Stegostoma tigrinum: one gene and its partners. The protein of the gene in region 3 purifies or fractionates together with the protein of the main gene of each other region. This does not show direct contact. Links are inferred from orthologs where the notes say so. Each region holds a gene or a part of one and is shown on either strand. Other genes may lie near its edges.

Region 1 (7,774 bases), on a different chromosome or scaffold from region 3:
TAAATGCAAGATACTCCCTTTTTTTAACAAAAAATTTCAAACTGCAATTAACAGAGAGCCGGGCATTAACAGTTCTGCAGAAGGGTCACCAGACCCGAAACATTAACTCTGTTTTCTCCTCCACAGATGCTGCCAGACCTGCTGAGCTTTTCCCGCAACTTCGTTTTTGTTCCTGATTTACAACATCAGCAGTTCTTTTGGTTTTTATTAAGAGTTAGGGATTTCCCCCTGGAGAGGGGTTATGTGATACCTATCAATATACTTGAGGCCTTTCCTGACTAATGGGCAATTCGGGTCCTCCTCCCACAATCAGTTTTGAATTTCGAGTTTAATTTGTGGAGTTGATTTTGTTCCTGTGTTCCTTTAAGAGACTGTTCCATAATAATTTTGTCTTACCTGGTTTCAGTTCTTATTTGGTTATTCAAAAGAATACAACAACATGACCGGGCTGAGAGTATAAGGTAATGGATTTGGAATCCATTGGGGTGATCCAGTGCAGGTTTGATTTCTGCTGACTATGCTTCTCATTGTTCTAACTTTAAACAAGTGCCTACAAACTTATAATCGCAGAAATGTTAAAGAAAGTCCTTCTAAGTAAGGGACTGTTCATTAGTTAATTAATCGTTTTTACTTTTCTCAAGAGAGTATAATGGAAAAATGATCTGTAGCTCAACAAGTAACACTCTTGCCATACATCGTAAGGTTCCAGCTTTTGAGGTTTGAGCATTGAAGTGAAAGCTGACAATCCAGTGTGAGACTGAGGGTGTGCCAAATGGTCAATGTCCTGTCCCGGCCCCATCTGCCTGTCCTGGTCAATGAAGAAGATCTCATAAAAATATAGGAAATAGGAGCAAGAATAGGCCAGTTGGACCCTTGAGCCTTAACTTCAACCAGCTCATGTCTGATCATCTACTCCAACGTAAATTTCCTGCACTATCTCCATATCCCTTGATAATTTAATATCTAAAATTTATCCAACTTTGTCTTGTCATTACTCAATATCTAAGCCTCAACACCTTTTAGAGAGCAGAATTCCAAAGATTCACAACCCTGAGTGAAGAAATTTGTCTTCTTCTCATTGTGAGATTGTGACCCAATTCTATATACGTCCTCCACTCCAGCTGGGCGAACATGCTTCCTGCATCTATCCTGACATGTCCTGTAGGTGTATGGTGCGTTTCAATGCGATCAACTCACAAACTTCAAAACTTTAGAGTGTACAGACCCAGTTTCCTCAATTTCTCCTCACAGGACAATTTTACCATCCCAGGAATCAGTCTGGTTAACCTTTGTTGTATTCTCTCTTCTGCTCCCATGTCTTATTGTCTAAGAAACACAGATGCAGTCTCCTCAATCTCTTCTGATAAAACAATCCCAGGAATTAATCTGGTGAATCTCCATTGCATTCCTTCTGCACCCCTCTTTTAATAAGGACACCTAAACTATCCATCCACACCCTGATGTATTGCAGCATTCCCCTAATAATTGTCAGAAACACATTCAATCTTACGTAATCACAATTTACAATCCACTACACCTCGATAGTAAGAACCCCATGTGATCTGATATACCAGAAGTTCATGTCTGATAAACCAGATGCCTCTTTAATATTCTTTGGTTGATGTGGGGTAAAGAAAGTGACCATATAGGATTCTGTTTCTCCCTCAGTTAACCCATTGTAGAACAAGAATTGTCATCAAGGAACTGATTCGTCTCACAAGAAGCTTTATTTATGGATAGCTTACAGAAGTTGCATTTCTCTAAATTAGACAAACATAATAAGCACACAGGTTACACAGAACAAAAAAGCCAAATTGACGATGCAAGTCATTCACTTTGACTGGAACAGACTCAAAGAGGTTGGGTGAAGTCTTTGCTGCCTGAATGTTTATGTTTGGGTCCTTGTGCTGTATAATAGTAACATTTTTCTACATTGGGTAGTGAGTGTTACTCCCAGCTCAAGTATACAAAAGCCAGAGGCTGAGAAATATAGAAAAAAATAGGATTGGAGATAGATTTTTATTTAGTAATGGGTTTTGGAGAGAGGGCTGGAAAGTGGATTTGAGACTGAGATGAGATCAACCATGACTGTATTAAATGGAGCAGGCTCAAGAGACTGCATTGCCTACTCTTGGTCTGGTTCTTTGCTTAATGAACCATTCAGCCCTTCAAACCTGCTCTGCTAATCCATTCCATACATGGACCATCTTTAGCCTTTTCTAAAAGGGGGAATTGACACTAATAGGTCCATATGATCAGAACTAAGATTGCCCAAACTAATTTTACACAGCACCTTTGAGGCCAGCGGCAAGGGAAGACTTCATCTGAGAAATCTAGACTAAATTTGATTCTGTGGCTCTGGAAAGGAAAGCACAGGGTTGAACCATGTCTTCATCCATGAGGTTTGATATAGTTATAGAATCCCTACAGTGTGGAAACAGGCCCTTTGGCTAAACAAGTCCACACCGAACCTCAGAGCATGCCACCTCAACCCATCCCCCTATAACCCACCTAATCTACACCTCCCTGGAGACTATGGGCAACTTAGCATGGCCAGTCCACCTACCCTGCACATCTTTGGACTGTGGGAGTAAACCAGAGCACCTGGAGGAAACCCACACAGACATGGGGAGAAGGTGCAAACTACACACAGACAGTTGCCCAAGGCTGGAATCAAACCCAGGCCCTTGGCGCTGTGAGGCAGCAGTGCTAACCGCTGTGCTACTGTGCTGATCATTTCGTGGAGGCTGTCACTAGATCTGATCTTTTACAATTAGACACCTGACAGAAATGCATGTTTCCAACATTTACTACATTTTCAAATTTCCAGCACTCATGGGTTACTCTTTTTTTTGTGTGTGGGGGCTGGTGTGGTGTTGCGGACATTTGGGCCAAATAGCCTATATGTGCTCTTACGTTTTTATGTTCTTATGAAAAGAAAAATCAGCTAGTGTCTTCCCACTGGTGGCCACACCTTCAGCTGTTAGGGCTTAACCTCGAGAATTTGCTCCTTAAAACATCTCTTGTTGCCTTCCTTAAAAACAATCCCTTGGACTAACTTGTCTTAGTGTTTCATTGTTATTCATTGAAGGGATGTGAACAGCACCAGCATGCCAGGTATTTGTTGTGAATCCCTAACTGCCCTCAAAATACACATGCAGTCGATGTGGTGTCAGAACAGGCTTCCTGTAATAGATTGATGAAACAGAGACTAAACAGGCCTTTGCAGAAGGCACTTAAATGTCCTTGAGGCTCTTGATGTTACAGGTAGGTCTGGCCAGCTAATGTCAACAGATATCCCCCCTTGAAAGACATCAAAAGTGAACCGGAGGGAGTTTTTTTTTGCAAAAATCTACTTCATTCATGGTTACCACAATTTTGAAATTTACTTCAATTCTGAATTTATTTCATTAAATCTAAATTTCATCAGTGCAGTGAGATTTGAACTCACTTCTGGAACTCAGGCCCCTGGATCACTCCTGTGAATCTCTTTTTGATGTTTCAATGATATTCGAGGTCTGCATTTGAACAGGTATTAAGGAGATAATAGCGCAGAGAGGAATACTACAAAATTATTAATTAATAGTTCAATATTAAGCCAGTCCCTACTGACAATCAACAAAGGGCCCACAGACTAAATTCTGGTATTGTTGTTTATACATGGTTCAGCATAAACTAAGTTTTAATGAGGTTTAAGCTTTCCCGTCAGTGTTTCAATTCTTTCTTCACCAGTAAAGGAGAACAGGAATTTGTATAGCACCATTTATCTTCAGCACATCCGAATGCACCTTATAGTCAATGATGTACTTTTGTTTTGCTTAAGGGATATGGGCAGTAAATGGCAAAGCCATCATTTATTGCCCATCCCTAATGGGCTTCGATCTAAGCTTGCTAAGCTATTTGAGTCAACCACATTGCTGTGTGTCCAGAGTTACATATGGGCCAGACCAAGGATGATGTCAGATCTCCTCCCCCAGAGGACATCAGTGAACCAATTGATTTTTATAACAGAAAAACCAAAAGAATTGCAGATGCTGGAAAAGCTCAGCAGGTCTGGCAGCATCTGTGAAGGAAAAATCAAAGCTAAAATTTTGGGTCTGGCAACCCTTCCTCAGAACCTATGGTAGCTGGCAAAATGTTAGTCGAGAATCAGAAAATAGGAAGGCTGGTGGGGTAGGGAGTGAACAGTAGGATAAAGGATAGTGTCCAGAGATGGAGAGAAGAGCAATTGGATAGTCAATGGAGTTGATAACAAGACAACAAGGTGTAGAGCTGGATGAACAGAGCAGGCCAAGCAGCATCAGAGGAGCAGGACGGCTGACATTTTGGGCCCAAAACATCAGCCTTCCTGCTCCTCTGATGCTGCTTGGCCTGCTCTGTTCATCCAGCTCTACACCTTGTTATCTCAGATTCTCCAGCATCTGCAGTTTCTACTATCTCGGAGTTGATGATGATCTGGCTCAGAGGGTGAATAGCTGTTAATGGGGACTGTTAGTGACATACAGTCACTCTCCCATGTCCTCGCCCCCTACCCTACACACCAGGCCTTGTTGTTACAGCCTGCCATTACACACTATTTAACAGTCACTAAAACCAAAAACGTCAACTTTCCTGCTCCTTTGATGCTGCCTGGCCTGCTGTGTTCCTCCAGTTCCACACTGTGTTATCTCTTGTAAATGTATTACTGTTATAAATCATTTACAAGTGGGCTTAAAACTGATACGCAACTTGATCAATGATTAACATGCTTTACCTCATATATATATATATATATATATATATATATATACACACACATATGCGCACAGTTCTGCTCTCATTTCTCTCTTCACAAGACTGTGACCACTTCCCTTGCATACTCAAACTTCCTCTTTATACACACGAAGATGTCGGTGAGTAGAGTATATGGACTATAAAGTTGTTTATCCTTTTGTATTTGTGTTTAACCAGGTAAAGGGACCAAGGCCCTTTTCAGTAAGGTACTGCCAAATTCTGAAAAAGTTTAAAGGGACTGTACTCAAGTAAAGGTCATGTCTCACTTGAAATGCCATAAATTCTAATAACTCGCTGATTTCATTACTTGGAAGTGCTGTTTCATTTATAATTTGACTCTCCTGGGATGCAGAACTAATGTCAGCTACATTAATTCATACAAGCAAGACCATAATTTTTTGCAGGAGTACAAACGTAATGTAAGGAGGATAAAATTAGGTGACAATATGGGAAGTCTGAGTGCCAATAAGATTGAGGCATTTAAATGGATTCAAGCTACTTGAAGAGTTGCATCTAATTCTTGGCACTGCTCTTTCGGAAGAGGTGAAAGTTTTGCAAAGGACACACTGTCTCTGGAAAAGATTTATTTGGATTGAGGGATTACAATGACACGGACAAAATGAAGAAGCTGGCTTGGTTTCTTGGAACAGAGAAGGAAAAGAGGAAAATGTATTCAAGTGCTTAAAATCACATTGAACAAAATTGACTGTTACTGGAGAAGCAGAAAAGGTTTGAAGGATATGGGGAAAGAGAGGAAAAGTAGAACTCATCTGTACGCTGCTTGAAATTGCTAGCACAGGCTTGATGGGATAAGTGACCTCCTCTGTGTTGTACTATTTTATGATTCGACAAGTTTGGTATGGAAAATTTATTTCTTCCATCTGGGTCATTCAATAGTGAGGTGACTAATCTTAAAATTTGAATTTTTCCTCCTCTGAGTTAAATTGGGCACTTTTCCACATCAAGGTGTGTGGAATCTTTCAAAAAGACTGTGATTGTTGAGGGGGATAATTGAAGTTTCAAGCCTGAGAATAGCCATGCCCTTGTTGGTCAAGGAAATCAAGAGTCATGGAACTGCAAGATCAGATGAGGTGCAGATCAGCTGTAATTCAGAATACAGGATGCTTAAAAGTCAGAGATATCAATATAAAGCGATTTCATTCTTGCTGTTAAGATTTTGTTACTTGTCTTTCCGGGAAGAAACAACTTGTTCTACACTTTCCCCAGAGCCATGTCGTTTCGGTGTCTTAATTACTTTGCACCTCGGGCAGAGGACTAATTTTCTCTCTCCCTTTTAATTCTTAATTTATACCCATTTTAAATCTTTCTTTTTTCCATTATTAACACCCTTTTGTTGTTTGCACTGGGTCCTGATTCCATCTGCCTTCTTGTTCCCCCTCTGAATCTGTCAAAAGTATAAAAACATTTTTTTCAACACCTTTCAGTTCTGAAGAGTCATACTGGACTCAAAACTTTAACTGTTTCTCTCCCCCCACAGATGCTGCCAGACTTGCTGAGTTTCTCCAGAATTTTTGAAGTTTGTTTCAGATTTCCAGCATCCCCAGTATTTTGCCTTTATTCAAGTGTTTATTGGATCAACTCTCATGGGTTGCGGTATTGACTGTTCTTAGTTCCACTGTCTAATCTCCATCATTAGTAGCCATGCCTTCAGCTGCTGGGCCCTAAGTTCTTGAATTATCTCCTTAAACATCTCTGCCTCTTTATCGCAATTTCTTCCTTTAAGACATTCCTCAAAACCTACCTTTGACCCCCAAGCTTGAATGATCTCCTTATGCAGCTCAATGCCAAAAGTTTGTTTCAGAATGTTCCTGCGATGTGCTGTACATTCCCTCTCATGTTAACAACATAGTATAATGAAAAGTCATTGTTTTTATTCCCACTGCTCTCACCCAACACTTTTGAGGATAATTGTTGGCCGTTTTCTATCAATTGATTCTACACTGGGGTCGTAAAATAGCCTGCAGTGCATCGAGCAGTGCACATACCATAAGACCATAAGACATAGGAATGGAAGTAAGGCCATTTGGCCCATCAGGTCCACTCCGCCATTTAAATCATGGCTGATAGGCATTTCAACTCCACTTCCCTGCACTCTCTCTGTAGCCCTTGATTCCTTCTGAGATCAAGAATTTGTCGATCTCTGCCTTGAAGGCATCCAATGTCCCGGCCTCCACTGCACTCTGCGGCAATGAATTCCACAAGCCCACCACTCTCTGACTGAAGAAGTGTTGTCTCATTTCAGTTCTAAATTTATCCCCTCTAATTTTAAGGCTGTGCCCACGGGCCTAGTCTCCCCGCCTAACAGAAACAACTTCCTAGCGTCCATCCCTTCTAAGCCATACATTATCTTGTAAGTTTCTATTAGATCTCCCCTCAACCTTCTAAACTCTAATGAGTACAATCCCAGGATCCTTAGCCGTTCACCATACATTAAACCTACCACTCCAGGGATCATCCGTGTGAATCTCCGCTGGACACACTCCAGGGCCAGTATGTCCTTCCTGAGGTGTGGGGCCCAAAATTGGACACAGTATTCTAAATGGGGCCTAACTAGAGCTTTATAAAGTCTCAGAAGCACATCGCTGCTTTTATATTCCAACCCTCTTGATATAAGTGACAACATTACATTCGCTTTCTTAATCACGGACGCTACCTGCAAGTTAACCTTGAGAGAATCCTGGACCAACACTCCTAGATCCCTTTTTACTTCTGCTTTGCGAATTTTCTCACCATTTAGAAAATAGTCCATGCCTGTATTCTTTCTTCCAAAGTGCAAAACCTCACATTTACTCACATTGAATATCATCAGCCATTTCCTGGACCACTCTCCTAAACTGTCTAAATCTTTCTGCAGCTTCCCCACCTCCTCAGTTCCACCTATCTTCGTATCATCGGCAAACTTCACCAGAATGCCCCCAGTCTCTTCATCCAAATCATTAATATACAAGGTGAACAGCTGTGGCCCCAACGCTGAACACTG
Region 2 (7,701 bases), on a different chromosome or scaffold from region 3:
CTGTGATGCAGGAAAAGGTGGCAGCCAAATGGAATGTCACAAGCAAATAAAAACCGAAAGAACTGTGGATGCTGTAAATCAGGAACAAAAACAAAAGTTGCTCAAAAAGCTCAGCAGGTCTGGCAGCATCTGTGGAGGAGAAACCAGAGTTAACGTTTCGGGTCCGGTGAGCCTTCCGCAGAACTGATGGTGGCTGGGAAAGCATCAGTTTATATGCAGAAAGTAAGGAGATGGGTGGGGTAGGGAGTAAATGATAGGATAGAGCCCAAAGAGAGAGAAAGGCAGTCGCACAGTCAAAGGAGTTGCTAACGATCAGGCTGGGAGGGTGAATAGTTGTTAATGGGGACTGTCAGTGGCCAACAATAGGGAGTGTGTAATGGCAGGCTATGTGGCAACAAGGCCTGGTGTGTGGGGTTGGGGGCTGGGACATGGGGGAGTTTAGACCTTAAAATTATCGAACTCAATATTGAGTCCGGAGGGCTGTAGGGTCCTCAGGTGGAAAATGAGGTGCTGTTCCTCCAGCTTGCGTTGGGCTTCACTGGAACATTGCAACAAGCCAGAGACAAAGAAATTGGCCAAGGAGCAGGATGGTACATTGAAGTGACAGGCAACAAATAGTTCAAGATCTTTTCTGCGAGCAGAACGTAGATGTTCTATGAAGTGGTCACCAAGTCTACACTTCGTTTCCCCAACGTACAGGAGACCACATTGCGAGCAGCAAATGCAGTGGACTGGATTCTGGCAAGTGCAGGTGGTGTTGCTTCCCCTAGATGATGTTTCAGCCTTTCGATGCTGGGGAGGGAGGAGGTAAGTGGGCAGGTGCTGCACCTTCGCCGGTTACAGGGAAAGGTGCCGTGGGGCTGTCAGGAGGCGTTGGGGGTGAAGGATGTGTGGATCAGGGTGTCCTGGAGGGAACGGTCCCTGCAGGAGGAGGACAAAGGAGGGGAAGGGAATGTCTTTGTCTGGTGATGGCATCTCACTGGAGGTGGTGGAAAACGGTGTCTGTTGATCTTCTGAATGTGGATGCTGGTGGGAGAGTAGGTGAGGATAAGGGGAACCCGGTCACTGTTGCCGGAGGGAAGAGAAGAGGTGAGGGCGGAAGTGCGGGAGATAGGTCAGACCTGGTTGAGGGCCCTGTCGACAATGGAATATCACAACCGTCAAGAGCATCAGAAAGGTTTCACGAACACCAAGCGATCACAGCCAGGTAATCTGTGTTAGCTGTTGGCTAAGGAAAACAAAATGGCCAAGATTACATAACTTTTCCACATTAGACTGCCATTGGATCCTTTACGTTATTCTGCACCTAAAGTCAAATCAAGAGATGGCCACAGGTGAGCAAAAGCAGACTCAAACTTTCTTACTTTTCAGAAATTGACTCCTCTGTGGGATGTGGGTACTGCCGTAGTGAGGTCAGCACTTATTCATACCTAATTAGGGAGGGAGCGATGAGCTGCCTCCTTGAACTACTGCAGTCCATGTGATGTGAGGACATCCACAGTGCTGTGTGAACAACAAAAATGGCTACAGCTGTTGGACAAGGTCATCTGAGTGAACCTGTTTGATGCCTACTATAATGGTGATAGCTACTCTGTGTTGTATGAGAAAAAACAGGGAACATCACAGTGGTTACATGAAAAGGTCTGGTAATCCAAAAGGTCTGGATGAATAACTCAGAGAATGAAAGCTTAAATTAGGGCCACTTGAGAATGTTTTGAGGCCATCTTGAAACTAGAAAGTTCATAATGGCCGTGAAACTGTCCCTTTCGTGAAAGGAGCCTGTCATCTTCCTGTCTGAATTGTACCTAACACCAGTCCAAAGTCAACGTCATTGCTGTATTCAAGAAATTTATACAGCACATTTTACACACTATCTTCCACTTAGAATTTATGGAATTCAAAATTCAACTTGTTTTCGCACACAATGTTGCACCCTTGGGTTCATCAATGATGATATCTTAATGTTTAGACCACACATTTTGTGTAAAGCACACAGAGCAAGGACAAAACATTTCATGTTGAAAATGTCAGAAAGTGCAAGAGAAATAAACTTTTCTCGATACCCCTCTCCGAGGTGCCTCATTACAATGTCCAGCGTCTATATTCCTTTTGAGGAACACAGCCAAGGTGTCCCTTAGTGTACCACTGCTGTTAGCCCAGAAACAGCATCTGTGCCCTAGTGTGCACCTCTGTGGAGCTGCTTCTAGCTTCAGTACATCCCTTAACATGTAATCCGGGACGTTTCCACATGCCAGTTTGCAACACTCAGTTGATGACAACATTTCGCATCGAAGACCCACTGTCTTCTGGAATGGCCTAGAAAACAACCCAGCTAAGGTTAAATATCAGGATCAGCTATTAAAACTGATCTTACTAGCGTCATTCATATCCAAAAGAGTAAACATATTAAAAAAGTCAACAAGCACATCTCTAACAGTTAGACACTGGGTCCGTGAGGCTACTACTACATTTTGCATTTTAATTCCTTTGTTCTGTAGTGGGACGAGGCAGAACAGATCTGCTTCTCTGAAGCTAATCTCTCACCCAGAGACAATTCAGATAAGATGGGGACAGAAGCATTGGTGACTTTTAAAAGCTGTCTAGCTCAAAGCTGAACCTGCAGTAAGCTTCGATGGTGCTCAAAGGACAGCAGTTTTATAATTGTTATTTAGTTTCCACCACAGGTAACTGCATGGCTAAGATTCTGTGACAATACTGTATTGCAGGGCCAACCCTCTTCAAAAGAAGAGTGCCAGAATTAAAAACTTGCAAGGCATTTTACACAGAAGAACCTGATATTTTGTACAAACACAGCAACATGCAGGTGGCATATGGCAGCAACAAGGATGCCACACAATATACTCAGTCAGAGAATTGCTGATCACTGATGAACACATATGCTCACCTCCATCTCCACAGCTCCAGCATCACGGTGTCTAAGTCAGGAAGCCAGCAAGTTGCTAAGTTACGGATGATCAGCAAGGTCAAAGGCCGACAGCTGTGAATGACTCACTCATTCACAATGTGACCAACCTGATCCTACACAACAAGGAATGCAGAGCTTAATTAGCTTCCTAAACCACAAAAGCAAGTAAGTCTCAGAAAGAAAATCTTCAGCAGAGAAAAAAAGAGCTGAAAGACCTGTAAACTGGGTCACCTTCAAAGCATGAGTCTGAAGTCATAAGAATAAGGCAAGAGGCATGCAAGCCAAAACAGAACCTGCAATAAAAGAATAGACAAGTTCAAAATTGCCTCTCTCATATTATGCAATTGATCCCCCAAGGAAACCCTTGTGGATTTTTTTAAACATGCATTTATCTTGCTGCTTTAAAAAGATGCAAGTGTGTTTTTTTGTGAGAATCAATAAGAAACTGACGGCCCTTCAGATTCACAAAACCACTATCTGCACTAATACATTCAGGTGGAACGCACATTCTCCAGATGCCATTAGGGCAGTTCACAAAAAGCTATGCTCCTGTTACAGTAGCTGCTCGGGGCACGCGTTCTCCAGACACAAGCCACTTACAACCCAAATGTGCACTTACTGCAACTTGTTGTGTACTTTGCAGCCAACAGAAGGGGTTTCAGCAAAAAAAACCAAGTCAGTAAGCGTTTATTCTAGAGATAATAGGAACTGCAGATGCCAGAGAATCCTCAAACTTTGCCTTGCCTTGCAAATGCACATGCCCCGTGGTAGAATAGCTCAAAGCATCCACCTAAGTAGGCAGGTCACAGAAATCTCAACAGCTTGTCTGTCAGGACTACCTTCAACATACAGTCTTGTCCTAAAGCAACGTTATCAAACAAAACCTGATAGTGAGCCACACAGAAAGATATTGGGTCAGATGTGCAATATCCTGCAGTAAGGTCAGCTTTTAATGAACATTACAAGGGAGGAAAGAGGTGGGGAGGGAGGACAGGGGATTTCCAGAGTTTACAGCAGAGTTCAGCCAATAGCATATATTCAGCAGGAGATGGATATAGGAAGGATCCTACTAAATTGGAGAAAATATTTAGAAGGATATTATTGGGAATGGAGGGTTTGAGTTGTAAGGGGAGGTTGGATAGCCGGGACATTTTTTGGGGTGATCTCATATAGGGGTTTATAACATCATGAGGGGCATAGGTGAGCTGAATAGCAAGCGTCTTTCCCCTAAGGCAGGAGAGTTCAAAACGAGCAGGCATATTTTTAAGGTGAGAGGATTTAGAAAGGACCTGAGGGGCAACTTTTTGACATCGAAGGTGGTTTTATGTGGAATGAACTGCTGGAGGAAGTGGTAGATGCAGGTACAGTTACAACATCTAAAAGACAGGTACATGAATAGATTGGGAGAGATATGGGCCAAATGCAAATAAAAGGGAATAGTTTAGTTTGGGAAACTTGGTCAGCATGGACTGGTTGGACCAAAGGGTCTGTTTTCGTGCTGCATGACTGACTCTATAACGGCAGGAGTGAAAGCTTCTTAGAGCTTTGCAGGGCCGGAGAAGATTACAGAGATGGTGACACAGAGACAGGTATGAGAGAATTCAGTCAGGGTCTGTCTTGTAACACAGAATCTGGAGCTGGTTCCTTCGAAGTAGAAGTTCACATGAGCTATGCAGGCTGAGCTTGGAACTCGAAGACTCAGTGAGGATTCCAAGTGTTGCAGCAGTCATCTCTCCCCACTGGACCTTCCTTTCAGATCTATCTCACGTCGACACTCGATGGGAATCTCAATGTGCTTACTAACTAGTGACCTGAAAATCCGACTTGAGGAGCAAAAAAAAAATGGAACGACTGCTATCTCTGAGCGACTGCAACCCTCCCCAAAGTTCAGACATCTCGTGGAAGGCAGGGCACTTTGAATGACAAGATCGATGGAAGCACTCATTGAGGTTCAAGCAAACACTATATCCATTTCTCCACAGGGATTAGTGATGGAGACTCAATTGCTTACAATCAATGTGAAAAACTTGGATAAAGGGACCAAATGTGAAATTACAAAATTGCGGGAGACACAGAGATGGATGCAAGAAAAGTCATGCAGAGGGCACAAGGAGTTTGCAAACAGGGATATCGTTAAGTAAGGGGCAAAGTTTGGAAACTGCAATGTAACGTGAGAAGATGTGAACTTGTCCACTGCAGCAATAAATATCTAAAAGCAGCATATTATTTGAATGCAGACACAGAAGAGCTCTGAGGGACAGAGTAATCAGTGTTCCGATACATGAATTACAAAATGTTAGGATGCAAGTACAAATGATTAGAAAAACAAATGTAATGTTGTTTCTTGCAAGGCAAATAGAATATAACAGTAGGGAAGGTTTGTCACAGCTGCACAGAGCATTGGTCACAGCTACAGTGTAACAAGAGCTTGATAACTTAGAGCTCATTGGACTGGAAGCTTGTCACTGAATGGGTACAGTACACGTCACAGTTAGTCTGCAATTGATTAAAGTGTCTAAGAATGCAGTGTGCTCAATTGAGATACGTTGTATTTTATTGCATTTTCCGTAATGACTAGTTTGAAATGTTCTGGAATGTACCTTTTACCACTCTAGTAACAATATATATTTTTGCAAAAGTGTTTTTTAAAAATTGGTTAGAGGATATCTGCGATACTGTGCATGGTTTTTAAGGAAGTGCGGAAAAGACTGGAAGTCTGAGGTACATCTTGACAGGACAGTTTGGACTGTATCCATCGAGGTTTGAAAGGTGATCTTATTTTGATAAAAAATACTACGAGACTTGACAGGATGGGTGTTGAAAGGATGCTTTCCTTGTGGGAGAGACTCGAGCTTGAGGTCATTTTAAAAATGTGGTGTCCCATTTAAAGGTAGTGATGTGGTGAATTTATTTCCCTCAAGAGGCCGATAGTCTACAGAATTGTCTTGCCGAGACGGGAGGACGGGATCATTGGATTTTTTTTTAAAAAGGTGGATTTTAAAGTCTTGACTGACAAAGGAGCCAAAGACTATGAGCAGCATGCTGGAAAGTAGAAGTCACAATCGAGATTAATATCTTTGAACAGGTTGGTAAGAAAGCATCTTCAATCCAACAAACCAGGATCTTATCGATTTACAGAGCAGGCTCAAGGGACCAAATGGCTGAGATAACACGGTGTGAAGCTGGATGAACATAGCAGGCCAAGCAGCAGAGGAGCGGGAAAGCTGATGTTTCGGGCCGAGACCCTTCTTCAGAAATCACATGCCTGATTCCATTTGCTCCCGATTCACATATCCCCCTCCGTCTCCGTTTCCCTGCCTCTCCGCTTCTCTATCCTTTTAAAAGATGATTGTTAAAACTTGTCCTAGACCTAGCTGTGGATTTCAGATATCCCAGCCCCTCACTCTGTGGTTCTGCGTCGTTTTGTTTGACTGTTTCTGTGAAATGCCTTGGAATGTTTTGTCACACTAAAGGCGCAGTGCGTACCTGTTGCGGAATACCCGCCCCTGCCTGTATGCTACAACATTTCACATTTCAGTCCCTTCCTGAGCTAATCTCCAAGCCAACCTGAAGATATGGTGACGACTCCAAACAAAAAGGTGCAAGTTTCATATGGTTAGCAGCTTGTTGGATGAATGAGTTGGAAGAAGCAATATTGGTGGCAGACTAGCCCCAGGGAATTCTGCTTAACCACTTACTTATTGAAGCTTTACTACAATGTAAATATGCTAATAACAAAAAAAAAATCACATTTCAGTGTTTGATCCATTTATTTGTCCCGACTTGCATGAATCTAACGTAACCTAATAAACCTCCTTTGTTCATATCTTACTCCACCCATCAGCAACTATAAAAAGAGCTGTCTCAGTAACAGAAGCTAACTTTTCTCCAGAACCATTTGCCTTGAGGTTGTTAGTTTGAGCCCTTCAAACAAAGGGATAACACAGACTTGACTAGTGGCAGCATGCAGGTGTCATCTAACATCGTATATTTGCGCAGCACCTGCATTGTGGTAATTCAAGGAAACCACACGGTTAGCCATTTGTTGGCAAACACTATTTTTCTCTGGAAGATATTTCATTGATGAATAGGCTCCTTGATGATACATGAAAGCCACACTCCTGTTTTTTTCGCCCCCATCCTCAAGTTCAAACCATTTTCAGTCCAATTAAAAGGTTTCAGTAACCCAGTAGCCAGGCAAACAGAGACAGCAGCAACCACTCAAGTGGTTACCAAGGTGATCAGTACAATCCAAGAGAGAAAGCAGCAGTACAGATTAAACAGCATCTTTATTATACACATCTGAGAATCTCAAAGGACCCATCCTAAGCAAACATGTCAGCAACAGAGCATCAAAAGCTAGAAACAGCCCTCCCTCAGTCCTTGTGTCAGAATGACTACTTTCCCAAACCAGCTGCAGCCTAGAAAAGCAGAGGCAATGGCCTAGTGATTTATCACTGGACAGTTAATCCAGACACCTTGTAATGTTCTAAGGACAGAGGTTCAAATCGTGCCAAAGCAGATGGTGGAATTTGAATCTAATTTCAAAAGAAAAAAAAATCTGGGATTGAGAATCTAATGACCACAACACCATTGCTGATTGTAAGGAAAAAGCCACCTGGTGCACAAAATGTCCTTCAGGGAAGGAATCCTTCCCCGATCTGGCCTACATGTGACTCGAGACCCACAGCAACGTGGTTAGTTCTCAACTGGCCTCTGGGCAGTAAGGGATGCACAACAGATGCCTGCAATGCCCTCAACCCCTGAATGAATAA
Region 3 (7,069 bases):
GAGGTCTATTCTCTATTTGTTGAACCTGTTAGTAGCAACAACTGAATCTTGTAGCCTCTATCTCTGGCAGAAATGTTACTATCAAGCCATGATATGGAGGTGCTGGTGTTGCATTGGAGTGGACAAGGTCAGAAGTCAGATACACCAGATTATAATCCAACAGGTTTATTTGAAATTGCAAGCTTTCAGAGCGCTGCCCCTTACAATGCTCGAAAGCTTGTGATTTCAAATAAATCTGCTGGACTATAACCTGTTGTCATCTGACGCCCATCAAGCCAACAGCTTGTATTGATGATAATGGGAACTGCAGATGCTGGAGAATTCCAAGATAACAAAATGTGAGGCTGGATGAACACAGCAGGCCAAGCAGCATCTCAGGAGCACAAAAGCTGACGTTTCGGGCCTAGACCCTTCATCAGAGAGGGGGATGGGGAGAGGGAACTTGAATAAATAGGGAGAGAGGGGGAGGCGGACCGAAGATGGAGAGTAAAGAAGATAGGTGGAGAGAGTATAGGTGGGGAGGTAGGGAGGGGATAGGTCAGTCCAGGGAAGACAGACAGGTCAAGGAGGTGGGATGAGGTTAGTAGGTAGATGGGGGTGCGGCTTGGGCTGGGAGGAAGGGATGGGTGAGAGGAAGAACCGGTTAGGGAGGCAGAGACAGGTTGGACTGGTTTTGGGATGCAGTGGGTGGGGGGGGGAAGAGCTGGGCTGGTTGTGTGGTGCAGTGGGGGGAGGGGACAAACTGGGCTGGATGACATGTCCATCATGGGCCTCCTGCACTGCCACAATGATGCCACCCGAAGGCTGCAGGAACAGCAACTCATATTCCGCCTGGGAACCCTGCAGCCTAATGGTATCAATGTGGACTTCACCAGTTTCAAAATCTCCCCTTCCCCTACTGCATCCCTAAACCAGCCTAGTTCGTCCCCTCCCCCCACTGCACCACATAACCAGCCCAGCTCTTCGCCCCCACCCACTGCATCCCAAAACCAGTCCAACCTGTCTCTGTCTCCCTAACCGGTTCTTCCTCTCACCCATCCCTTCCTCCCAGCCCAAGCTGCACCCCCATCTACCTACTAACCTCATCCCACCTCCTTGACCTGTCCGTCTTCCCTGGACTGACCTATCCCCTCCCTACCTCCCCACCTATACTCTCTCCACCTATCTTCTTTACTCTCCATCTTTGGTCCGCCTCCCCCTCTCTCCCTATTTATTCCAGTTCCCTCTCCCCATCCCCCTCTCTGATGAAGGGTCTAGGCCCGAAACGTCAGCTTTTGTGCTCCTGAGATGCTGCTTGGCCTGCTGTGTTCATCCAGCCTCACATTTTGTTAGCTTGTATCGATGGCTAAATACCATCTGGGTGAGAACAACTACTTCAGAAAAGTCAAGGCATCAAATCAGCACATTCTGGTGTGTTTGGCTGGCTAATCTCCAGGTCTTTGCTGAATCTCGTCATGCATATGGTTATCACTACTAAGTAGTCTTGCTAACAATAATGAACAACCAGATCTGTGCTGCCAGTGAGCAAAAGGACCACACTACTCTTAAATGCATCACACCATTGAGTCAGACAGATTACAGAGAATCTGTTGTTACCTTCCCATTGAATACTGATTTGTTTTTGGTTAATCAGTGGTTTAAAACCACTGCCTAAAAGAATGTTCATCTAAACCACTGCAAAATTCACACAAGTAGAGAGGTTTGCTTCCGTTCTGAGGGTCACCGGACCCGAAACGCTCACTCTGTGTTCTCCTCCACAGATGCTGCCAGACTTGCTGAGCCTTTTCCAGCAACTTTGTTTTTGTTCAAGAGAGGTTTGCTTTACTTGACCTGGAATGCCCATTTCGTTGGTTCAGTGACTCACTTCGCTCACCTCAGTTCAGAAATGCCAGCACAGTTGTCAAGAGCCAAGGTTTCGAGGCTAATGCTGTAATTCGATCAGATCAGCCCTACACATAAAGGTATGCTTTACTGCTTAAATGCTTTTGCGCGCAGTGAAACCGATAAATTAATCCCCGAGTGCTCCGCATTACTGTGATCCTGATAATTGTTTGAGTGCTCCGTGTGAGATGCGCTGGGAATGTCAGTTACCCCCCCACCACGCCCCCACGCACGGCTGCTAATACTTCTCGGAACTAACATAGTATTTAAAGATTAATTAAAACCATTAATCCCAAACACATCAAGTACAATGATTTTTCTTCTGGGGGATTATCCTGTATAAATAGGGAAATAAAGTTAATCTGGGGATCCTTTTGACCTGCCTCAAATCTCCACGGTATAAAAGTTTTTTTTTAACACTTTCCTTATTCCCCACATAATACACACAGGAAGATGAATCATTCTGGATCATGGTGTGCACATGATCTCATTCCACCGCAACCGATTCTTCAGTTGGAACAGTTGATGCAAAATAAGATAATATCTGCAGGACATTTAAAATTTAGAGAGTAAGAAAAGAACAAAAGAAGGGAATCTCACTTGTATCCGTGTATCTAAAAATCAAACAAACACACGCTGGCAAGTATTCAGTTATAAATTACAAATTGATCGATACTAAGCAAGAAGGCGCAAAATGGATATTGAATAAAAGCCGGACATACCTGACTGTGCACCAAAGTAAATTCAGGATCAACTTGCAACTGTCCTTCTCAGAGCCCAGGCAAGTGCTTCACGAAATCATTCCACTGCAGGCGTCACATTCCCCTCCTCTTCAACACATTTCACTCAATAAATCCTGCTCTTTCAAAAAGCGTTAAATGCTGCAGCCTGCCCGCTCTGCTCTGGTCCGAGGTGACCACTCGCTCTGATTTTGATGAATTCTCAGCGCTCCAGTCCTGGCGAGCAGCTCGGAGCCGGCCCTTGCTGCACAGGTGACCCAGGCCCCCTATCCGCTCGCTAGCGCGGATGACAAAACAAAATCGAAAGGTCCTTTGTGAAAGCAAAGTGGGAATGTCAGACGGACAGTTTCAGGGTGAGTAACCTGTTTCTAACTCCTGACGCAGCCGCTGATAAACTCTGGGCGGTTTCAACTCCGCCCCCACGAGTTTGACTTATAACAAGGTGTACGGCTCTGCACCACGTCCTCCCCAGATCACACACACACTTCTCACAGATCACACACCGACTCTTATTGTGCTGAGCATCCGTATGTCGGGTGAACCAAACTGTATCACCAGATCAGAGGTCTGCCGCCAGATTTCATCGGATCAGAACCACCATGTACAGGATTACCTCACAATATCTTCCTGTATACGATTAGATATGATGTATCCAGCCTAATGTTTCACAATTAGATTCAATGGCTTACATGATGGCTCGGTGGTTAGCACTGCCGTCTCAGTGCCTGTCAGTGTCGGTTTCATTCCAGCCATGGTTGACTGTAGCATGTTCATCATGTGCAGTTTAGGTGGATTGTCCAAGGTAAATTTGAGGTTACACGGGTGGGTAGGTTTGGGTGGGAAGCTGCTGGAGGGAGGGTGCAGATTCAGTGGGCCGAATGGCCTCCATGTGTGCTGTCGGGCTTCTATGATTCTAACCTGACTCCTAAATCAGATTCCCAGAATACAATCTGATCATCAGGTCTGTGGTATATAGCCTGACCTTAATGAGGCTACATTCAGCTTGATACCTCTTGGAAAGAACATCATAGCACATGTTCTCCATTACTATTGCAGACATGATAGAACCTCTGTTAGCAATGCCTAGGTCCAGAACTGTGCTGCATAATGTATTAATCTAGCAGTTTACGAACATTCAATATACTTCAGATGACCTGGAGAAAACAGAAAGCCATTTTCAGGGAGTTAACATTGAGCGAGTATAAGAATCTTCTAAAGAGATCACCTGCACATGGTGAAACCATGTAGTTGGGTGGGATTTAGCAGATGTACCATTCTACAATTGTTACTCTGTGTGATAATAGATGGAAGTGCTGACCATGCAACTGGTTGCAGTTACTGGGTTAGAGATAATAGGGACTGCAGATGCTGGAGAATCCGAGATCACAAAGTGTGGAGCTGGATGAACACAGCAGGCCAAGCAGCATCTTAGGAGCACAAAAGCTGACGTTTCGGGCCTAGATGAATGGTCTAGGCCTGAAACGTCAGCTGATAATGGGAACTGCAGATGCTGGAGAATCCGAGATAATAAAGTGTGAAGCTGGATGAACACAGCAGGCCAAGCAGCATCTCAGGAGCACAAAAGCTGACGTTTCGGGCCTAGACCCTTCATCAGAGAGCTCGCTGATGAAGGGCTAGACCTGAAACATCAGCTTTTGTGCTCCTGAGATGTTGCTTGGCCTGCTGTGTTCATCCAGCTTCACACTTTGTTATCCTGAAACGTCAGCTGTTGTGCTCCTAAGAAGCAGTTACTGGGTTAGCACTCTTGCAGAATGGCAAGCTGCCTGATGCAGCAAATGACATTTAGGGATGAGATGATGGCAAAACAATTGAGGCAGAACTGATTTTCATAACCATCTGCAAAGCCCAATATACCTCCTTTTGTGTAATGTCATAGGAGTTTCCCTGTTGCACAGCAACCTGGAACAGGAATTCCCCCTCACCACTTTCAGGTTGGTGTGTTTGAGTTTGCAAGGTTTGTTGGTGGCAAAATAGTACGCACAGACTAACTGGTTATGCTGCTCTTGCCTTCTGACATGGCTTTTGATTTTCTTTGTACTTGTAAAATTCTCTGATAAGACCACAATATCAATTCCCATTTCTCACCAATAAATTACTGCTCTTCAGAAAAATATCTTAAGGAACTCCTTCTTGACAAGACAATAATAATAATATGGCTGGTTCTCAAATTAATTTAAAAGGGCACAGACCTGTATGGGATCTTTCCATAAGTGTAAGAAATTGAGAGCTGCTACCGAATAGCATCATCTCTGTGCTATTTCAATATTTTAATGAGGTTTTTGCACATATGCCTGATCAAACAACTTCAGTGGTAAGTTAGGCATGCAATTATATGCAGAGGATAAACAAAGCAGGGAGCAGGTTTGCACATCCTATATCCGCAGTACCAGTTCAAATGAGTGGAATTACTATGCTTATTTGTCATGTTGTATTTTGGTAATTAATTTTGATGTAAAACTATCATTGTGATCCAGACATTTTACTGTGAGTCACTTCATCATTTCAGGCTGCTGAATTCATGCAAATAAATAATCATTAACTTATGGAAAATTTTGATGACATTGCATTAGGAACAAATATCTCAAATGGAATTTGACTATCCAGACTGACAAACAGCATAATAAGAACAGCAATATATTCATATTAGTAGTTCAGATACTCCAAATAAGCCACACAATCATTCAAGGCATTGTGGTGTATGCTAATAGCTAGCCCTATCAAAACAAAAGTCATGTTTCAAGCAAAATAGTTGCAGTTAGTTAGCATTTATCAGCTAATGGCTACCCTGAACATCCCAGTGTGCTCTGTAATGTGTACAGTAATTGGATTGATTATGATATTTGGCCATTTAACCTACCCATATTCCTCTATTCCAGCATAAAATAAATGGTGAAATTGCCATTGTTGCTATATTTGTACACAATATTGTGATCAGTCACTGGCATAATCCATTAGTGGCTGCAATACATATGAAATCCCATTGCAATTTATGGTGTGTACTAATTATCCACTGGTTATTAGAACATACCTCATTCTTACCTAATTTATGAGCTACCTCACTGGGAGTTGGCACCTCAAAATAGTATTGCCTATTAAAATATTTCCACATGAAAACCACCAAGTAAAATCATGAGCAATGTAAGTGTCTGAGTGGGATGCTCTTTGGAGAGTCGGTGTGGACTCGATGGGCTGAATAGCCTGCTTCCACGCTGTAAGGATTCTATGATTCATACAAAAGGAATAGGAGGAACTATAGCTGAATTACCTCTGTAGTCCCAATTGTGGTATCAGTCTCTGAACATGTTCAAGCCATGTAAAAATTGGGTTGAATTGTTTTGCAAACATTTCTAATCTTCTTTTCCCCAAACCACAGTACTCATCTTCAGTATTTATAAGCAGCATCCTCGCATTGCCAAATTTTACCTGCTCAAATGAGATGGATTTTACAATGCAAGGGGTAGGTTATTGTTCAGGCAACACACTACCAGCTATCCATTCTTCTCTGCTATATTGAGATTTTTCTCCCCATATGAATGTTGAATATATCTTACCAACTAGGTATATTCCGGGGACATTAAGTGTCATGAAATGCGCAGTTTAATGTACTTTTTCTCTTATTTACATTGAATACAAGGAAACCAATGCATTCTTAGAAGTAGTAAGAAATGCTGATGCTGGAGTCAGAGAAAACACAGTGTGGAGCTGGAGGAGCACAGCAGGACAGGCAGCACTCCTCCTCTGATGCTGCCTGGCCTGTTGTGCTTCTCTAGCTCCACACTGTGTTATATCTAATGCATTCTTGTTGATTAGTAAATGCGGAGCAATTTAAATATAAAAGACTACTTAGTGTGGCTAAAATGGGTAGATTGCTTCCTAGAGCCAAACAAATAAAACTCAACCTTCAGTTGACCTAGGATTTTCCCATTTCTTCAGTGATGTGACATGCAGCCCTTGCTGGAAATCACTTGGTTTCAGCTGCCCCTACAGGTGTCCTCTGTACAGCTCAATCCATCTTCTTCACCTGTTGACCAAAATGTTGAATGTCTGATTTGTGGCATTCAAAGTCTCCAGGAGTGATACTAACCCAACCTGCAAAGGGAGAAACTGAGTTAAGAGACAGTTAACTTTATGCAGTCACTCACTGCAGTCCTCCTAGATCTCATAGGATGTGGGTGTTGCTGGCTAGCCAACATTTATTTCCTGTCTGGATTCCTATCCAGCAGTTAAAGACGAGTTGAAAGATCCAGATTTCATGGTGTAAAATTTGGAGTAGGGATGAATGGGAATTGTTTCAGCAGCAACAATGACCTAGTCCCCCCACTTGCCCAAATCTTATTCTGGAATCAAATTGTTAGTGTCCATGCAGGAATCCAAATACACCTGCCAACTTTCCAATATTTCTTAGCAAGAGGCCTCATGCCTTCCGG
Region 4 (7,880 bases), on a different chromosome or scaffold from region 3:
TGTCAAGCTTCCTCAGGGTCTTGCACAGAGTCATAGAAGCATACAGCATGGAAACAGATCCTTTGGTCTATCTTGTCCATGCCAACCAAGTTTCCCACGGTAAATTACTCCCAATTGCATGCTTTTGGCCCATGTGCCTATAAATCTCTTCAATTCATGTACCTATCCAAATGTCTTTTAAATGTTGTTATTGCACCTGCATCACCACTTCCTCTGGTAGTTCATTCCACATACAAACCATCCGCTGTGCAAAAAGGTTGCCCTTCAGGTCTCTTTTAAATCTCTCTCTTCTCACCTTAAAATATGCCCTCTTGATCTGAATTCCCCCACCCTAGAGAAAAGACCTTTCCTATTCACATTATCTCATATGCCTCTCATGATGTTACAAACCTCTATATGGTCACTCCTCACTCTCCTACCGCTAGTGAAAAAATTCCCAGCCTATCCAGCCTCTCCTAATAACTTAAACCCTTCAGTCTTGGCAACATCCTTGCAAATCTTTTCTGAATCCTCTCAAATGTAATAATATCTTTCCTATGGCAAGGCACCCAGAACTGTACATAGTACTGTAACAGTGGCCTCATCAATCTGTACAACCTCAACATGATCTCATATAACTCCTATACTCAATGGTCTGAGCAATGAAGACAAGCTTGCTAAACATCTTCTTAATCACCTTGTCCACCTATGATGCAACTTGCAATGAACTATGTGCTTGAACCCCTAGGTCTCAATCAAGTTACCTTTTACTCTTTTGAACTCTGTAGATACAAGCCTAGCCTGTCCAATCTTTCCTCTTAAGACACTGCACTCTTTCCAGTTATTAGTCGAATAAATCTTCTCTGAACTAATCCTAATGCTCTTGTGTGCCTCCTTAAATAAGGTAATCAATACTGTATACAGTACTCCAGATGTCTTGTATAAATGAAGCATTATCTCTCTACTTTTGTATTCAATTCCATTTGTGATAAATGATAAAACTCTATTAGTTTTCCCAATAACTTGGTTTACCTCTATTATAAGCTTTTATCGTTCATTTTATCATGCAACTCTGGGTACACTTTGATCACTCTGCATCTCATAACTCTGCAATTTCTCACTATTTAGATAACTTTTCTTATTCTTTCCACTAAAATGGACTGTTTCACATTTTTGCACTTTACACTCCATTTGCTGCATCTTTGCCCATACACCTAACTTCTGTCACTTCACAACTTACTTTCCTACCTATCTTTGTGTCATCAGTAAATCGGTCAACCAGACCTCCAATCACTTCAATGATGTAATTTATCTGAACTGTAAAACAGTTGAGATCTCCATAGTGATCCCTAAAGCACACCACTCATTATATCTTGCTCACCTGACAAAGACTCATTTATGTGCCTAATCTCTGCTTCTTGTTAGCCAGGCAATATTCTATTCATGTCAATATGATACCCTCTGCACCCTGAGCTTTTACTTTCTGAGATAATCTTCAATGTGACATCTTAATAAATGCCTTCTGGAAACCTAAGTACAGTATATCCACTGGTTCTCTGTTACTCATATCACGTCTTCAAAGAACTTTAATAGATTGGTCAAACCTGATTTTTCTGTCACAAAGCCATGCTACTTTGCTTGATTACATTTAACTTACTCATGTGACTTGCTCTAATACTTTTTAAAAAATCCAACAATTTCCCCATGACAAACATTAACCTAACTGGTCTGTAGTTTCATTCTTTCCATCTTCCTTTTTCAATAAATGAGCTACATTCGCTATCTTTCAAACTAACACAACCATCCCTCAATAAAGGGATTTTCAGAAAATTAGATCTATCTCACTCATGACATTTTTCAAGACTCAAAATAAAGTTCATTAGATCCCAAGAACTTGTCAATCCACAGGTCCAACCTTTTACTTAGCACCACATGTCTGGTGATTGAGATTTCCCTGAAATCTCCATTTATTCAACTCCTGATTTATCATTGTTTTTGAAGTTTACATATATCCTCTATCGTGAAGATGAAGTAAATTACCTGTTCATCTCCGTTGCGCTTTTCTGGTATTTCTCTTCATTTAATAGTCTGCCTTTTTTCATACAAACGTGCATGACCTCACTTTAAACTCCATCAGCCAATTTTTTGTCAATTCACTCAACCTATCTATATCCCTGGCAGATTCCTGTCTTTACTGTACATGTCTTCCCACCTGTATCATCAGCAATTTTAGATGCATTATATTCTGTCCCCTCTTCCAAATCATAAATATAGATGGTAAATACTTAAGAGATAATGGGAACTGCAGATGCTGGAGAATTCCAAGATAATAAAATGTGAGGCTGGATGAACAGAGCAGGCCAAGCAGCATCTCAGGAGCACAAAAGCTGACGTTTCGGGCCTAGACCCTTCATCAGAGAGGGGGATGGGGAGAGGGAACTGGAATAAATAGGGAGAGAGGGGGAGGCGGACCGAAGATGGAGAGTAAAGAAGATAGGTGGAGAGAGACAATCTTCTTTACTCTCCATCTTCGGTCCGCCTCCCCCTCTCTCCCTATTTATTCCAGTTCCCTCTCCCCATCCCTCTCTCTGATGAAGGGTCTAGGCCCGAAACGTCAGCTTTTGTGCTCCTGAGATGCTGCTTGGCCTGCTCTGTTCATCCAGCCTCACATTTTATTATCTTGGTAAATACTTAAGGCTCTTTTGGCACTCTATTTGTTTTGCATTTCCAACCTGGAAATGACACACTAACTCTTACTGTCTACCTTCTGCACATAAGTGCAAAGGAGCCCTACTGACACATCATGTTTATTCAGCTTAAACCTTTTGAAGATTTTCTCGACTTGATATCCCTCACCTTGATAAACACAATATTGAGTCAGGCTAAAAGCAGGAATCCCAAACATGCACACCATAATCTATATGTCCATTCCAATTATTTATTTGCACAACGATGCAAAAATAATTTGTTTATAATTGATATGGTACTAGTTAACATATTCTTTCTATCTATGTTCATTGCTACAATTAACTATATTAATTTACACAAATTTTAAAATTATATACCAGTAATACAAAACCTTGTAATATTCTCCAAAATATTTAATAATATTAATTTTTGATATAAAAACTTCTTTTTCTCCATTTGAAGATTGAATAATAATGTTATGCCCTGATGTAGGAGTGACCACATTATTGAATTTGGCCGTGACCAGGAGTTGGATTCACATCAGTCCAGGTCGCCATTAACCAAAAGGATGCTTCAGCATTCTTTTAATTCTACCTTACATGTCAATTCAGCTCCTTTGCATTGTCTGACTCAGCAGACCTTCCCCACCAGTTCCACGATTAAGTCATCAGTACATCCCAGCTGAAGAAAACATCTCAAATCACAGTTCGTTGCAACATTATTTTAAGTGGGCGCGTTCGAAAAAATTTAACTGCAAAAATCGATCGCGCAGTAGGGCAATGTTGTTTGGAAGCACGCACTCCTATTTACTCATTTCAGTGCATGAGGTGCGCACTCTGACTAACAAAGACACAATGATTTCGCCTTTGAAAGCCCCAGCAGAACTGTTTTCATCCTGGTAGATCATCCGGTTGTACGTAAATATATATATGAATAAAGTTTAATTTTTTTTCTTGAAGTGCGGCATCAGCTTGGGAAAAGAACTATTGAACTAGACAAACCAGTCCCCCTTGTTTGTTTGGGGTGGGTGTTGCAGGAGGTGGTTATACAATTTTCAATGTGAACAGGGTGGGGGACTCATGTTGGTTGTTTGCTGCACGCATAAGCTAGGAGGGCCTTCCATCACCGTGATTACTCTGCGTTCTTCTAACTTCCACTCCACGCAAACTCGGAGGAAGTTTCACCTTCAAGTGAGCTCCAGGAATCTGGAACTTTTTTTTCTGCCCGCATTCCACAGATTCCTCTGCCAGCCGGCATAATGATTTTACTCATGACAACTCCATAATGGAAATGACTGCCACTGCAACCCTGTACTTCTGCCAAAACATTTTTTGTTAAAAAAGTTAAAAACGTATTTTACAAAAACGCGGAAGAACGATGTTATAAATTTAAGATATCAAACGAGGAGTGCTGAATCTATGCTGAATCTAATCGACAATGACACCATCAGAAGCCAGATTCTGGTCAGATTTACTGAATTATTACACCTGGGTTCCACCAGTGAGTTTTCCCCGGCTGTCGTCGATACCTCCCCGCCCCCAACCACAGGGGCTGTGAAACGGGATGATTCCCAGAATAAGACGCAGGGATTCACACCACTGCTGGGAAATGTAGTTTTCTGACCCTCCTGGTAGCTGGAAGGAGAGGGGAGGGAGTGGGGTCTCTCGGCGTTGACGGGGAAAGCCAGTTTTCATAAATCAGGGTCACCAGTATTTAAGATAACAAAGTATGAAGCTGGATGAACACAGGAGGCCAAGCAGCATCTCAGGAGCACAAAAGCTTTTGTGCTTCTGAGATGCTGCTTGGCCTGCTGTGTTCATCCAGCTTCACACTTTGTTATCTTGGATTCTCCAGCATCTGCAGTTCCCATTATCACTGATACATCCCCAGTTTTTAACCCTGCTCAACACATACCAGTCACCAATGCAGGCACCAAGTCTGCCACATTGCAATCTCCCAACAGTTTGCATTGGAGTTACGCGGCCGTGACCTTCCCTGTGCACTACAGCAGGCGGTTTCCATCCTGTAGGACTACCTTCCCATTCCAGCAGGATGGGGAGAGCATCAAGAGAAATCACTGGGAACAAAGATTGTGCTACGTGCTGGGAGAGAAAAAAAGAGCAGCTGGGAGGGTTTTGAAACTACAAATCCCACAATTCAATTGCAAATTTCTCCGCCCTCACCCCCCCAACACACACACACACACAAACACACACACAGATATAAACTCACACTGGATCACGTCAGCTCACGTCGGGAACGTCACAGAATAGTTGGATCGGTTGCAGTCGGTGAGTTTTAGTTGAAGTCTGCGGACCCCAGGACAGCCGAGCTGTCAATCATTCCCGCGAATCGCGGCGCGAGAGTGGCCGAGCCGGACATCGCTGGACAAGGCGGACGAGTCAGAGTCCACACACAACAACCCAATCTGTCCCACCATCAATCACCCCGAGCACGGCTGCTCCTTTTTTTTCAGTTTGTTTAAACAGTGGAATCGTGATAGAGAGAAAGGAGTACCTGGTCTGTGCTGGGAAAGTTGATTCATATTTCGTTGGGTTGGGTCTGAGAAAGCCGATCCTGGTTTGTCTTCACAGCCCTTCCATCGTGAGCAAGAAAGATGAGTGGCGGCGATATCGTCTACAACGGCTGGCTGAGGAAGTCTCCACCGGAGAAAAAGTTGAGACGTTACGTAAGTTTTTTTTTAAATACATGAGAAAGTGTTTTCGTTTTGCAAATTCAAATACGGCGGCACTGCTGTAAGCGAACCGAGTTGTAAACGTTGTTTACCTATACAAAACTTAATTTATCATTCAAAAAAAGTGGTTGATTCCTCTCGGCACAATATAATGCTCGCACTCAAGAATGCAGTAGTTACAAAGTAACTGCTGGCAATTGCCCCATACACTTTTTAATTTTGTTAATATGCAAATTAGAACTGTTTGGAATTAGTGCGTGACTTTTTTTAGTGAAAAGTCCACTTGAGTTGTGGCCAACATAGATACGGTCTTTCTAATAGTTTATTTCAGATTTTCAACGTTTGTAGATCTGTCTTTCGAAAAGCAATGGAGTCCTTTGTCTACTGTGAATATGTTCTGATGTTTATAATCTTTTCATGGGTTTGCAGTCACACATGGCTGAAAACTAGAGTGATCTGTGTGTTGAGCAGTGAGAGCTTTGAAGGGCCGGTAGCTGAATCGCACACTGTCAGAAAGCAAGTTTCCAATACGGGACACACCCATTAACTTGGCTGCTGCTCTGCGTACACTTGAGGTTGAATGGGTGTTCATGTCTTCTAATGCAGGTGCAATGCCAAGCGACGTGGAAGGATGAACTATGTGTTTAATAATGCGTGGAAATATCTTGTGATGTCCCATGTCTCTCGGCCCAGGTTTTGTTTAGTGCTGCACGTCGTGGAATTGAAGCATGTTGTCTGGCGGCTTGAAGCAAGTTAAAATGTTTTCCATTCGTTCAGGTGGCAATAGCGGGGCTTTTCACCGGACATATTTCTCAGAATTAGGCCACCAAAAGCTAACATGATGAGTGGCTATGGTTTTATTGCTGGGTAGTATGTAATTTATTTACAACATTTAACAGTGCAAACTTTTTCATACTTCAGCCAGTAGATTTAAAAGAACGAGTGGGCTAATTATTTACTGCAGCTTGAGAAAATAATTGTCAATGGAAGGATCTTTGAACTTTTTAAAATTTTGTGGAGCCTACTTTTACTTGGGTAAAAGAATAACTTTGAGGTAGTCTTAAAGACTAGTATCGTGGTGATCTGAAATAGTTGTGACTTAGTACATTTGAAACAATTCATTTTTGTTTGAGATACTTTTAAAGACGTGTTCTGTGGCAATATATGAATTTTTCTCAGGGATTTTACCAATATCCCATCATAAACCTTCCTTCACGTGGTTTAATCAGTTTTATCATCCTGAGTCTGAGCTTTTGTTTTTAGTAAACTTGTAAGATTTTCTTTACTACTTGTAAACTAACTCTGTGAAGGGAATATTCAGTTTGGTAAAAGCAGTAAATGTTTTGCTATGTAATTGAATGGATCCTTGTAACTTTTTTGAAACTGTTAATTTGAAGTATTCAGAAATGAATATTGCTTTCTGTTACTTATTTAGTTCTACAGAAAAGGATATGCAAAGACAATAGGATTTCTGACATAAAATGTGGCAAGTAATGGCATTAGTCAGTGACTCTGTATTGCATATAGAGCAAGCTTCTGTTGTCAGCCTGTCTAAACAAAAATGTAGAGTGAATGTGAGTGTGATATGCGCAGTTTTTACTCTGATCAAGTGTCAGTTCTGTGTTCCCCATTGTAATATCTTACATCTATAATAATTAAGAATAGGACTTTGTCATTTATCTCAATGTTGGTTTGTGACAATGTTTGTTTGCAGCAATGTTTTTGCACCTGGAGGAAGTGCAAGTACAAGTTTATTGCTATGTAGGTTTGAGTTAAATTATTCAATTCCTATTTGTAATCATGCCAGAGAAAGGAGGAAAAAAAATTGAAGTTCTTATCACGCTCCTCAACTAAAGAAGAACTTCAGTGTATGCTATATAAGACATAGGAGTGGAATCGTTCACATTTTCAGACTGCAATAAAGCATTTCACAGCCAATAAATTAGTTTTTGAAGCACAGACACCTATTTTATAGGCAAACATGGTAGCCAACCTGTGCACAACAAAGATTCAAGCATGAATGAAATAAATAATCACATTTGTATTGACTCCAGGATAAATGTTGGCTAGGTTCTCAGGAGTACACACTTGCTGTTTAAATAGTGTTGTAGGATTTTCTGTATTTACCTTGATAGGTGAATGGCACCTTAGTTTAAAGGCTCACCCAAAAGATAATGTGTTGCACTGTCATGTTCTGTTTGTCCCATTCTGATATGTCACTACTGATTGTGTACAGATATGTTTGTAGTGAAACTTGATCCGACTCTGATTTGATGATGAGACATTGATAACACTCCTAAGCTAACCCCTTTATTTAATTCTACAAATTTAATACAAGCAATCTAACCTATTTGCATTCTTTTTCTTCCTCCCTCCAGCATGCTACTGACTTCTCGCAGCAAACAGCCACAGATTGCATTTAATGTAGCGAAAAGCTTAAATGTTTTTATAAGGATATTATCAGACAAAATTTCTTAGTGAACAGCTGGCCCATAGCTTGGTCAGAGGTAGACATTAT

Evidence for each region.
Region 1: the proteins of met (region 3) and galectin-2-like purify together in Homo sapiens (affinity purification with mass spectrometry; 3 studies listed by BioGRID and IntAct, with this or other methods). This does not show direct contact. The link is inferred for Stegostoma tigrinum from reciprocal best matches to the Homo sapiens genes MET and LGALS1.
Region 2: the proteins of met (region 3) and plxnb1b purify together in Homo sapiens (co-immunoprecipitation; 3 studies listed by IntAct). This does not show direct contact. The link is inferred for Stegostoma tigrinum from reciprocal best matches to the Homo sapiens genes MET and PLXNB1.
Region 4: the proteins of met (region 3) and gab1 purify together in Homo sapiens (affinity purification with western blotting; 3 studies listed by BioGRID and IntAct, with this or other methods). This does not show direct contact. The link is inferred for Stegostoma tigrinum from reciprocal best matches to the Homo sapiens genes MET and GAB1.

What each region holds. Positions count from the first base shown.
Region 1 is NC_081391.1:12,805,640-12,813,413, reverse strand, and holds the start of galectin-2-like, read left to right. Parts: upstream 1-4,773; 5' UTR 4,774-4,886; coding exon 4,887-4,892; intron 4,893-7,774. UniProt on the Homo sapiens protein: Lectin that binds beta-galactoside and a wide array of complex carbohydrates. Plays a role in regulating apoptosis, cell proliferation and cell differentiation. Inhibits CD45 protein phosphatase activity and therefore the dephosphorylation of Lyn kinase.
Region 2 is NC_081364.1:17,663,337-17,671,037, forward strand, and holds the start of plxnb1b (plexin-B1), read right to left. Parts: upstream 3,017-7,701; 5' UTR 2,929-3,016; coding exon 2,906-2,928; intron 1-2,905. UniProt on the Homo sapiens protein: Receptor for SEMA4D. Plays a role in GABAergic synapse development. Mediates SEMA4A- and SEMA4D-dependent inhibitory synapse development. Plays a role in RHOA activation and subsequent changes of the actin cytoskeleton.
Region 3 is NC_081371.1:34,233,387-34,240,455, reverse strand, and holds the start of met (hepatocyte growth factor receptor), read right to left. Parts: upstream 3,013-7,069; 5' UTR 2,604-3,012; intron 1-2,603. UniProt on the Homo sapiens protein: Receptor tyrosine kinase that transduces signals from the extracellular matrix into the cytoplasm by binding to hepatocyte growth factor/HGF ligand. Regulates many physiological processes including proliferation, scattering, morphogenesis and survival.
Region 4 is NC_081354.1:29,131,325-29,139,204, forward strand, and holds the start of gab1 (GRB2-associated-binding protein 1), read left to right. Parts: upstream 1-4,869; 5' UTR 4,870-5,284; coding exon 5,285-5,356; intron 5,357-5,938; exon of another isoform or gene 5,939-5,962; coding exon of another isoform or gene 5,963-5,968; intron 5,969-7,880. UniProt on the Homo sapiens protein: Adapter protein that plays a role in intracellular signaling cascades triggered by activated receptor-type kinases. Plays a role in FGFR1 signaling. Probably involved in signaling by the epidermal growth factor receptor (EGFR) and the insulin receptor (INSR).